2 linked regions of the Arabidopsis thaliana genome follow. The protein of the gene in region 2 binds, or shares a complex with, the protein of the main gene of each other region. Each region holds a gene or a part of one and is shown on either strand. Other genes may lie near its edges. A codon is read from its position in the direction of its gene.

Region 1 (4,134 bases), on a different chromosome or scaffold from region 2:
CATATCTCTTTTCGAATCCATTTTTTTAGTTACCTTTTTCTTTATTCACGACATGGCTACTTTCTTTAGGACGTGCGTGAGTTCTTATATACAACATAATCACGTAATGCGTGAGCATTTATGAATACAGCTAAAGAATTGAATCAAACTCACATGAATTGAGAGAACAAAGTATATGTGGTTATGACGATTCACATGATTCCTATGAAACAATGCTCTTCAACACAAGAATCTAAGGATTGCACACCAGCGAGAAGATGACTGAGACACTAATAAGAGAAAGCTAGAACTCTGAACTTAAAATCATGAATGGAGATGATAAAAAAGGACTTCTGAGCAAATGCTGTGGACACTCATGAATGGGGGTAAATCTTGACAGATTGTGTAGTGGTTTTCATTGGAAAATGAACCATACTTCTCGGACCCCGTATCAACAATATAGGTTCTATTTTATTGGTTTGAAAAACTAGAGTGACCATCACGGCTTCAATCTTCTCGCGTCAACTCTATTTCAAACTTCCCATCAGACTCTGTGAAACAATCGGGGACAAGGAAATCTAGATAGATGACGAAACCTAAGCTTATGTAGGAAATAATTATATTTCAATCTAACAATAAAAGTGACATGGATTTGAAAATGATACAAAAGATGGGTCTCTACGACAAGACAAGGCTTCTAAGATTTGAGAATGACACAAAAGATGGGTCTCTACGACAAGACAATGCTTCTAAGAAAAGTAGAAAAGTGAGGTCTACAGTCTAACATACAACATAATCAATATTAGCCATGGATGTAAGTGAATTCTGTAATTCTTGTTTTGAAATGGACGAATCTCATCCAAAAATGTATGTAAAGAGCTTCTTATTGATTCAACTTGGCCGTGAAAAGAGAAAACAAACAGAGAAGCATAAAAAGGATCCACCTTTCCCGATCAAACAAAACGAGTAAGGGAGAAGTAATCCAATTTCAGACTTACACTCATACAGATTTTTTCCGAAGCATCTCCTCTGATGGAAGCTCCAAAGTAGCTCCCGCGTGTTCCTGACTTGCTTTCATCTCTACGACACAGAAAAATCAAATTTCCAAAGATATGAGCTTTCACTCACGCATTTCAACAAACAGATGGTGCGCAAGATAAAAAGAGTCAGAACGAACCATATCCGCCGCGTTCGTTGAGTTTAGCCTGGACGATCATGGTGGAAATGAACTGCGTCGCTTCACGCGCCTCTTCTAGAAGGCGAGTGATGTCGGAGTTAGAAGCCACGAGGCGATTCTCTTCGAATTTCTTACGGATCTCGGACGCCGAAGCTTTTAGCATCTCGGTATCTCCGGCGAATGATTTCTTTGTTGCCCTGAGCAGTGCTCTGTACGCGATCAACGCTTCTCCGGTCACCATTTCTGCTCTTTCCCCTTTCAACCTCCGCCGTCGTCTCCCTCCCAAAATTGGATTTAGAAATTTGGTCGCCGACAACCTTCTGATCAACTTCGAGTTTCATTGGGCCTTTACAACTTTCATGAATAAGCCCAATTTTGGCCCATTAATGGATTATTTCGGATCATACCCGTTCAAGCTGGGTTAACCCGAATCTTTCGTATCCTTGAGACAATTTACATGTGTATACTTATTATGGTTTCTCGATGAGTTTCAATCAGCGAATGCTTTGTCTGATTGTTCACTTCCTCCCTCGAAGTGTCTTCACCATTTCAAAGAGGTACGATTTTGTGTTTATAATCGTAGATTCCTTTCGCTGTTTTGATGTTATCGATCTGTACGAAACCCTAGATCATTGAGTCTGACCAATTCTGAAATTCGTCTCTTCGTTTGCCATTTATGTTTGAGAAATTCTGATACATGTTGTCATGTTGATCTCTTTATGTTTGGTTGACCAATTCTGAAATCTGAAATTCGTCTCTTCGTTTGCCATTTATGTTTGAGAAATTCTGATACACGTTGATCTCTTTATGTTTGGTTAATTCCTGCCAGTTTAGATAGAGATGGATCATGTATACAAAGGTCAACTGCAAGCGTATGCCCTGCAACATAATCTGGAGCTACCAGTGTATGCGAATGAGAGAGAAGGGCCTCCTCATGCTCCTAGATTTAGATGTAATGTTACATTCTGTGGACAGACTTTCCAGAGCTCTGAATTCTTTCCGACACTAAAATCGGCTGAACATGCCGCTGCAAAAATTGCAGTTGCTTCTTTGACGCCACAAAGTCCAGAGGCTAGTTCCTCACACTCTTTTTGGACTACAAGTTATGTGCTTTTTCAACATTTGTTTAAATTTTGATTTTCAAATTTTTGTTGTTTCAGGGAATTGATGTTGCCTACAAGAACCTGTTACAAGAAATTGCACAGAAAGAGAGTTCTCTGTTACCATTTTATGCAACTGCTACATCTGGTCCATCGCATGCGCCTACTTTTACTTCAACTGTTGAGTTTGCTGGTAAAGTTTTCAGTGGAGAAGAGGCGAAAACCAAAAAGTTGGCTGAAATGAGCGCTGCTAAAGTTGCATTCATGAGTATCAAAAATGGGAACTCGAACCAGACCGGATCGCCTACTTTGCCTAGTGAGAGACAAGAAGATGTAAATTCAAATGTGAAGAGCAGTCCACAAGAGATCCATTCTCAACCTTCTTCCAAGGTGGTGATGACCCCTGATACCCCATCAAAGGGGATTAAAGTGAATGAAGATGGTTAGTTTTCTTTGAATACTACACTACATGAATAATCCGTTGGTTTGTTTGTTAAAGGAAAAACTCTCTTTCTTTGTTATAACTTGTGGTCCAATCAGAGGGACGTATTTTCCTGAGATAGGTAGGAAACAGCTATGAAATAAGAAAGCCAACCTTACTTTAACTGCATGAAATGGATTCCAATTTCAGTTTAATGCTAAATGGTCAAGATGGTTAATTCATTCAAAACTCATGCTCTACAGTCTTGATTCTGTGCAGAATTTCCAGATCTTCATGATGCACCAGCCAGTAATGCTAAGGAGATTAACGTTGCTTTGAATGAGCCTGAGAATCCTACAAACGATGGTACTCTTAGTGCACTAACTACTGATGGTATGAAGATGAACATTGCTTCTTCTTCTTTGCCTATACCTCACAATCCTACAAACGTTATTACTCTTAATGCACCAGCTGCCAATGGTATCAAGAGGAACATTGCTGCTTGTTCTTCGTGGATGCCTCAGAATCCCACAAACGATGGTAGTGAAACATCATCATGTGTAGTAGATGAGAGTGAGAAAAAGAAGCTCATAATGGGAACTGGCCACCTGAGTATACCAACTGGCCAACATGTAGTTTGTCGCCCATGGAACCCCGAGATAACTCTTCCTCAAGACGCGGAGATGCTCTTTAGAGATGATAAATTTATAGCCTATCGTCTTGTGAAGCCATAACGACATCATCATCTTTGATGCATAATAAGTGTAGAGATAGAATGTTAAGGTAAGCTATATCTCATCTGTTTGTAGAAATAGAATGCTTCTCGTCTCTGGTTTTCTTAAGCAATATGCTATGTAGTATGTATACTGTGTAATGACTAATTTTTGTTTTAAAGCATTGTGTTTATTAGAAACAAGGCGAGATTAAATGTTAATAGATTATGGAAAAGCTTAACAGAATAAATATTAAATAGTAAGATGTAGACATAAGCAAAACCAGCTAGATAAGTAACCGCTTCAAGTAGAATATTTGTAACGATAACCGAATATAATTAGAGACACTAGAGTAGAGGTAAGCAAAATATTTGGGAACAGCAATTCCATCACGATATTAGATATTCGAGACCGGTGCGGAGATGTGCTGATGATTTTCGGAAGACATTCAGGTTGTACATAGCTAAGTCCATATTGGTACCCACAAGTGCTGATTTTCCGAACAGATCCTGGTTGTGAACGAAGCAGGGTGTGCCAGCAGTGCCAAGGCACAGAGTCCTTATTTTCTCTCTTAAATTTTAGGGTCCTAATTTATAGGAATTTTTATTTTTCTAGATAAAATTACAATGGTTGAATAGAACTACAAGTGTATTACGTTTACAAGAGACAGTAAACACTGCCACGTAAACTAAAATTTTTTGGATTTAAAGGTTTAAAGGGGATATTTTTTTTTTTAGCACAGAA
Region 2 (5,732 bases):
GGCGCCGCTCCCAATCGGATTTGCAGTGTTCTTGGTACACTTGGCAACAATACCGATCACCGGGACCGGAATCAACCCAGCTAGAAGTCTTGGAGCCGCAATTATCTACAACAAGGACCACTCTTGGGATGACCATGTGAGTAAACAACTCTAATGAAAAGGACAACTCAAAACGTATTATGATGTTTTCTAATATATTTGAATTTGTAAAATTGTGGTGGTTGTTGCAGTGGATTTTCTGGGTTGGACCATTCATTGGAGCAGCTCTAGCAGCACTATATCACCAGATTGTCATCAGAGCGATTCCTTTCAAGAGCAAGAGTTAGAGACACACAGAAAGATTCCACGGTCCAGAATTTGTTCTTTAGTAGTTTCTTTGCTTATCTATCTAATGTAGCTTGTGTTTTGCAATGTAATGAGCCTTTCAAGAATATGTATTTGGGATTTCTAATCAGCTTTTGTCTATGTAAAAACTATGTGTTTCTTTTTTCTTCCTATACTCGTCTCAGATGCTTTATGGCAAAGGGTCTCTGAAGTCTAAGGTGATTAGTGCTCCGGTTATTGATGTTTTGAATAGTTTGTTCGACGAATATAAAATAAACATAGTCAACCCTCATTCTGTATCAACATCAAGTTCTCGGGTTGGTTTTGAGAGACATGATTATGAAGATGATCATGACTTCGTGAATGTGGGGGTTGAAGGATTGGCCTCTGTTTATGACAAGATGGTGAATGAAGAGCTTGACTATTGTGTACTTGCAAGAAAGTGTTGAAAACACAAGGGCCAATACATTGGAAACAGAATATGATGTGTTTCATACTAGAAGCTCAGTAGTCTTAAGCTTCCGGTTTTATTTGTACTAGCTAGAGATATTCTAGCTATGCAAGTTTCTTCTGTAGCTTCTGATTCTTGTTTTAGCACCAGTGGTCGGATCTTAGAGCCACAGAAAAGTTGCTTAACACATTATATGATTGAGGTCTTGTTGTGTACTGAACAATAGATGATTTAAATAATTTTTGTGATTTTTTTTTATTTTAGTTTCCTAAATTTTAGTAACAAAATCGATTTATAGATTTGATAATAAGTTTGTTAAAACATTTAATGCCAATGGCATTGGGTTGTAAATAAGTTCAAACTCCAGGATTTATTTCATAAAAGTGTTGCAAAAATATATAAGTAGATTCTGTACCGTTTGTAATATGGGTTAGTTTTTGATATTTTTTCTCCGTTATTATTTTGTTTGTTTTCGATATTATTTGTTTTTTTTTACAAATAATTTTGTTTTTTTTATTGCATCATTCTATTATAACCCGATTGACAATAAATAACCAAATTTTTCTTTATCGGTTAAAAAACTTTAAATGATTTATTATTTGTTTATATTTTAGATTGTGCATATATTTCTTTGATTCAGTATTATGTGTTTTAAAAAATTTGAATCATAATATATGCAGAAAAAACAAGAAATTTATTAACCATATATAATTTATAATAATTCAAATAATATAAGTACATAAAATCAAATAAAAGTGAAATGAGAATTATGTATTTATGTTTATTAGGTAGAGAGGTTTTAGAAAATTAGCCCAAACATTTTATATTAGCATTAAATCATCATATTTAATTTTTTATCTACAAAAATTGTAAAGAATATACCATATATAAAAAATTTAGATATAGTAATTATTTTTTATAAATTAAATTCGTTTTTGGGTTTTGTCATAATATAGGGAAATATTCGATTGACGATTTCTAAATCAAATTGTATAAAACCCTGACCCGAATAAAAAGAGGAAATATATATTTTAAAAATGTTAAGTAGATTTATTGCTAATAATTATTTTTACTTTCAAAAAAATATTTCAAAAGATAGTTCTTTAATTATAATTCCTTTTTAATTTTTTATTTATAAAGTTTATAACATTTTTAAAACATATTTACATTATGGTCGAAATTATGTAATAATTTAATATGTAAACTCATCAAATAATATTTTGTAATTAATACATAAATACAAATTTTTTTTTTTCCTTCAATATTTTTTCCTTCAATATTGCTCTGTTCATAATACTTTTTCTTTTTTAGTGAAATAACAAAACATTCAACCAATCTCTTGAGCTTCTTCTTCTTCTTTCGTTACTCTCTTCTTCTCAATCTTCTTTTCGATCTCATCATCACTCGATCTTCTTCTCCATTGGCGTTAGCTCAGTTCCTAAAGGTATTCATGTCTCTCTTTCCATTTCCGATTCTCGCTTGAAATAGAATTTCTGGGTTTAGTTCAAAATTGAAGCTTTTGTTCTCAATTTGAGATTTCGGAAGTGTGAAGAGGAAAATCAAAACTCGAAAACTCCAGCCTCTACTTAGATCGTTCTCCTTTCTGGGTCAATCTTCTATTCAGCTCTCTTTGATTTTATTGGTAAACTCCTCCTTAAGGATTTGCTTAGTTTATGAAGATTTATATGTTGTTTAAACGTCACTTGATTTTGGTAAGTTATAGCTTTATGTAGATCTCAAAAGTATCTGCTGTTTAACTAATAAATATTTGATGGTTTCTTATTTTGTGTTGTAAGATGCCATATGAGACAATGATTTGAATTGTGTGTTCTTATGGTTTTGCTTTTCCATAGTATAAGTGAGTGTGATGAATTAGCAAAATGTCTTGTGTGTGTGATTTGAATTGTCTTGTGTGGTTAGCAAAATGCTGTTTAACTACTAAATATTTGGGTCTGTCTTGTTGTTTAGGCAAAGAAGATATTTGTCTATTGTTGTTTAGGAACTGAAGTGTTGTTTCTGTAATCTAATCAAAGGGTTTTAGATAAGGAGAGGAAAGATATATGATAGTTAAGATAGTTAAGATAGTTAAGATAATCAAATTTCGTTTCTTTACCATAGTTAGATATTTCCATGTTTTCTAGGACCAATTCGAATACTTGTGGCCTACTGTTTTGCTCAAGTTAGTCATCTTTCATAGGGCTTTATTGTAGAAGCTGGGAAATATTTATGCTTTGTGATTGGAAGAAGGATATTTCAGTGTTTATACTAATTGGACGATCCTATGTGGTGTCTGAAAGCGGTTGCTGTTTTGCAGGCAAGCAAAAGATGTTGTGAAAGGCATTTAAAAAACGGATTGGTAGCAGGAATCCAAAAGCTCAGCTTCTTGCCATAACTGTGAGCTCCTAGATAACTGTCTCTCCTTTTTATTTTCCTTTTTGGTTACTTCATTGCAATAGCCACTGTTCTTTCTGTAACTGTGCATTTATATAGCCTGCTTAAACATGTTTATTTAAGATGGTTAAGCTGGAACTAGTATGAGTTTTGACCAAAGGGAAAGCAGATTATTTAGTTAAGTTTAAAGCTTTACTTGGTAAACTTCATACTGATTCTTTAGCTCTATAGAAAACAGAACAAATCTCTTGTGTTAAAAGTTCGGTCAAATTTGATTTCAGAAAAAGTCTCTGCGACAATCTCCTAGCTTTGTCAAATTATAAGTTTCTTAGCAAATGTTCAGGCAACTGAGACAATATTATTGAATTAAGAGTGATTATGCGTCGTGGTCCTGAAAGTTGTTGTTATTATTGAATTCTTTGTATGTATAGATTATGTCATGGGTCATATGTGGTTTTGATGGGTAACGTTTTTACTAATAATAGCACTATGCTTCTGGATTTTGATCTAGGTGATCATTAACTAGTCTATATATATGCAATGTCTTTGAAACACTTTTTGTTGTAGTTAAAGTCTGTCTGATTTGTGTTGGTTTCTTATTATAAAGGAATAAGGTAGCTGAAGCTAATTAATCCAATAAAGAAAAAAAAGAATTTTCTGCTTGAAATCAACGATGGATCTTCCTCCTCCAGAGTCTTCATCAAATCCCATATCTTCCTTCTCTGTGGTAAGAAATGCGGAATATAAATAGAAATATTAGTCTTTCCTTTTGGGCTTAGATCTTCTTAAATGAGAAGAAATAATCATTTTGTCATGTCTTTTTGTTAATTTTTGTTGGATTGGATCAGTTATTATTATTATTTTTTCTTTGTCTCTATTCAGGCTCAAAAGAGGATGTTGCTACAGAGATGCGAAAGTAAGTTTAAGATAAGGAAGCTGAACGATACTGTCGAAGAAGACAATGTCACGCAGATGGAGCCAAACTTTACACTTGAGAACACTCTTGTTTCCGAACCAGAAGCAGATTTGAGGCCTCACACAACTGAGCCCACTACTGAAGGTACTTACTCTTTTTCTCCCCACACTGTTTACTTAATTTTGGTGTTATCAGTTGTATTTAGCTAAGGTTTTGTTAATGTTATTGGTTATAAGGGTTTTAAAGATGAAAGCTATGGTTATGGAATAAGAATGTTAGTATTGTGTACCTGTGTTTGCTTTCTTGAAGAGCTTTTGGATTCCTTAAAAATCAAAAGCTTAAAACTTGTCAATTATGTCTCATTTTTTTGGGGTTAGTTTTCATTTATCGACAATTTGACATTTTGTTCTGTTGTTCACATGCATGTTGTTTAGAAGAAACTCAGAGATCTTCAGCCAAATCACAGTTGTATAATTTATGTAGTGTGAGGCATTGGAAAGCACCACTGTATGAGTATATCGCCGAGGGTCCTTGCCATATGAAAATGTAAGAGCACATAATTTCTGCACTCTTTTCACATTTTAAAGGTTAGAAATCTTTAGTGTCAGCATCATTCATGTTTTTCTTTTGTTTTGTTCAGATTTACAGGCAAAGTTACGGTTGAAATGAAGGAGGATTCTCGGATAACGGTTTTGGAGTGTTTTGGGAATCCACAGTACAAGAAGAAAATCGCAGCTGAGCAGGCAGCAGAAGCAGCACTTTGGTATCTTAAGAATGTGGGTTATACCCTTCAAACAGAGAAAGCTTCTGGTCGTAAAGGACGGAGTAAACCGATATCGAAGATGATGGTAACAGGTGAACCCGTGTAATGATCTTTGCCAGTTAGAATCTGTTAAGGTGATTACTTTTGTTTATGTTTATCGGCCTTAAGGATTAGCTTTTGATATAAGCTCTACCTAGGATGCTCAAAAGGTCACAAAATACTCATCTTTTATGAGACTATTTTCATGTGTACCTTTAACCTGCGTTATTTTTTGTCTATCTATGCAAATGTCTATTTTGATACTTTGACTATATCTCGCGTCAACTTTCCTTTGATATAACTATATACGCAAGTCGCAAACTTTTGTTGGTTTGACCTTAGCTATTGCCAACCTTCGTTTGGCTCATGCCATCTTCAATGAAAATTAGCATTTTGATAGGTTTCATAAGTTTGATATCTATTCTGAGTAAACAAAATTTGTAATGAGTCTGCCTTTATAACACATAAAAATCTACTACTAGTGCCTCGAAGCTGTCTTAACCTAAGCTGCCTTTATACCACATCGAAAATTTTCATCTTACCACATAGCTAAACAGTTGGGAATTTTTCATATGCTATGTGGTGCTTTGGTTACTCCGGTGATTCTAGCAAGGGCGATAAACATCATCATCTTATTTCTTCTGAGAAACTTTAAGTCTGAGATTCCGGTGCAAATAACAAGATTAAGGTTATGTAGATTATAGATCTCTTAGAGATTGTCTCACAGGCAGAATTTTAGTTGCCTTAAGACAAGAAACTGTAAAATAGAATCTTAAAGGCTAGCTTGGAGAGCACATTTTTAAGGAAAAGATGATCTTGTTGGTCACATAAAGAATGTTGTGTGATGA

Evidence for each region. Proteins that work in one complex are often made in the same cells at the same time.
Region 1: the proteins of AT4G00420 (region 2) and DRB4 are in contact, whole or in part, in a crystal structure (PDB 8IGD), measured with the Arabidopsis thaliana proteins. Residues at the interface, in NP_001118902.1 of Arabidopsis thaliana: Met102, Glu104, Arg107, Ile108, Thr109, Val110, Leu111, Glu112, Cys113, Phe114, Gly115, Asn116, Glu130, Ala131, Trp134, Tyr135, Asn138, Val139, Gly140; in NP_191839.2 of Arabidopsis thaliana: His314 (codon at 3,283), Leu315 (codon at 3,286), Ser316 (codon at 3,289), Ile317 (codon at 3,292), Pro318 (codon at 3,295), Thr319 (codon at 3,298), Gly320 (codon at 3,301), Gln321 (codon at 3,304), His322 (codon at 3,307), Val323 (codon at 3,310), Val324 (codon at 3,313), Cys325 (codon at 3,316), Arg326 (codon at 3,319), Pro327 (codon at 3,322), Asn329 (codon at 3,328), Phe342 (codon at 3,367), Arg343 (codon at 3,370), Asp344 (codon at 3,373), Phe347 (codon at 3,382), Ile348 (codon at 3,385), Ala349 (codon at 3,388).

The regions. Positions count from the first base shown.
Region 1 is NC_003074.8:23,225,026-23,229,159, reverse strand, and holds DRB4 (double-stranded-RNA-binding protein 4), read left to right. Parts: upstream 1-1,647; 5' UTR 1,648-1,713; intron 1,714-1,985; 5' UTR 1,986-1,996; coding exon 1,997-2,227; intron 2,228-2,316; coding exon 2,317-2,698; intron 2,699-2,956; coding exon 2,957-3,411; 3' UTR 3,412-3,634; downstream 3,635-4,134. Other genes in the region: AT3G62810 (complex 1 family protein / LVR family protein), read right to left, coding at 980-1,059, 1,157-1,397. UniProt on the Arabidopsis thaliana protein: Double-stranded RNA-binding protein involved in RNA-mediated post-transcriptional gene silencing (PTGS). Functions in the trans-acting small interfering RNAs (ta-siRNAs) biogenesis by binding and assisting DICER-LIKE 4 (DCL4). Required for DCL4 activity.
Region 2 is NC_003075.7:180,737-186,468, reverse strand, and holds AT4G00420 (Double-stranded RNA-binding domain (DsRBD)-containing protein), read left to right. Parts: upstream 1-1,999; 5' UTR 2,000-2,219; exon of another isoform or gene 2,220-2,487; intron 2,488-3,089; 5' UTR 3,090-3,169; intron 3,170-3,773; 5' UTR 3,774-3,839; coding exon 3,840-3,893; intron 3,894-4,048; coding exon 4,049-4,226; intron 4,227-4,516; coding exon 4,517-4,628; intron 4,629-4,722; coding exon 4,723-4,951; 3' UTR 4,952-5,195; downstream 5,196-5,732. Other genes in the region: PIP1;4 (plasma membrane intrinsic protein 1;4), read left to right, coding at 1-136, 231-326.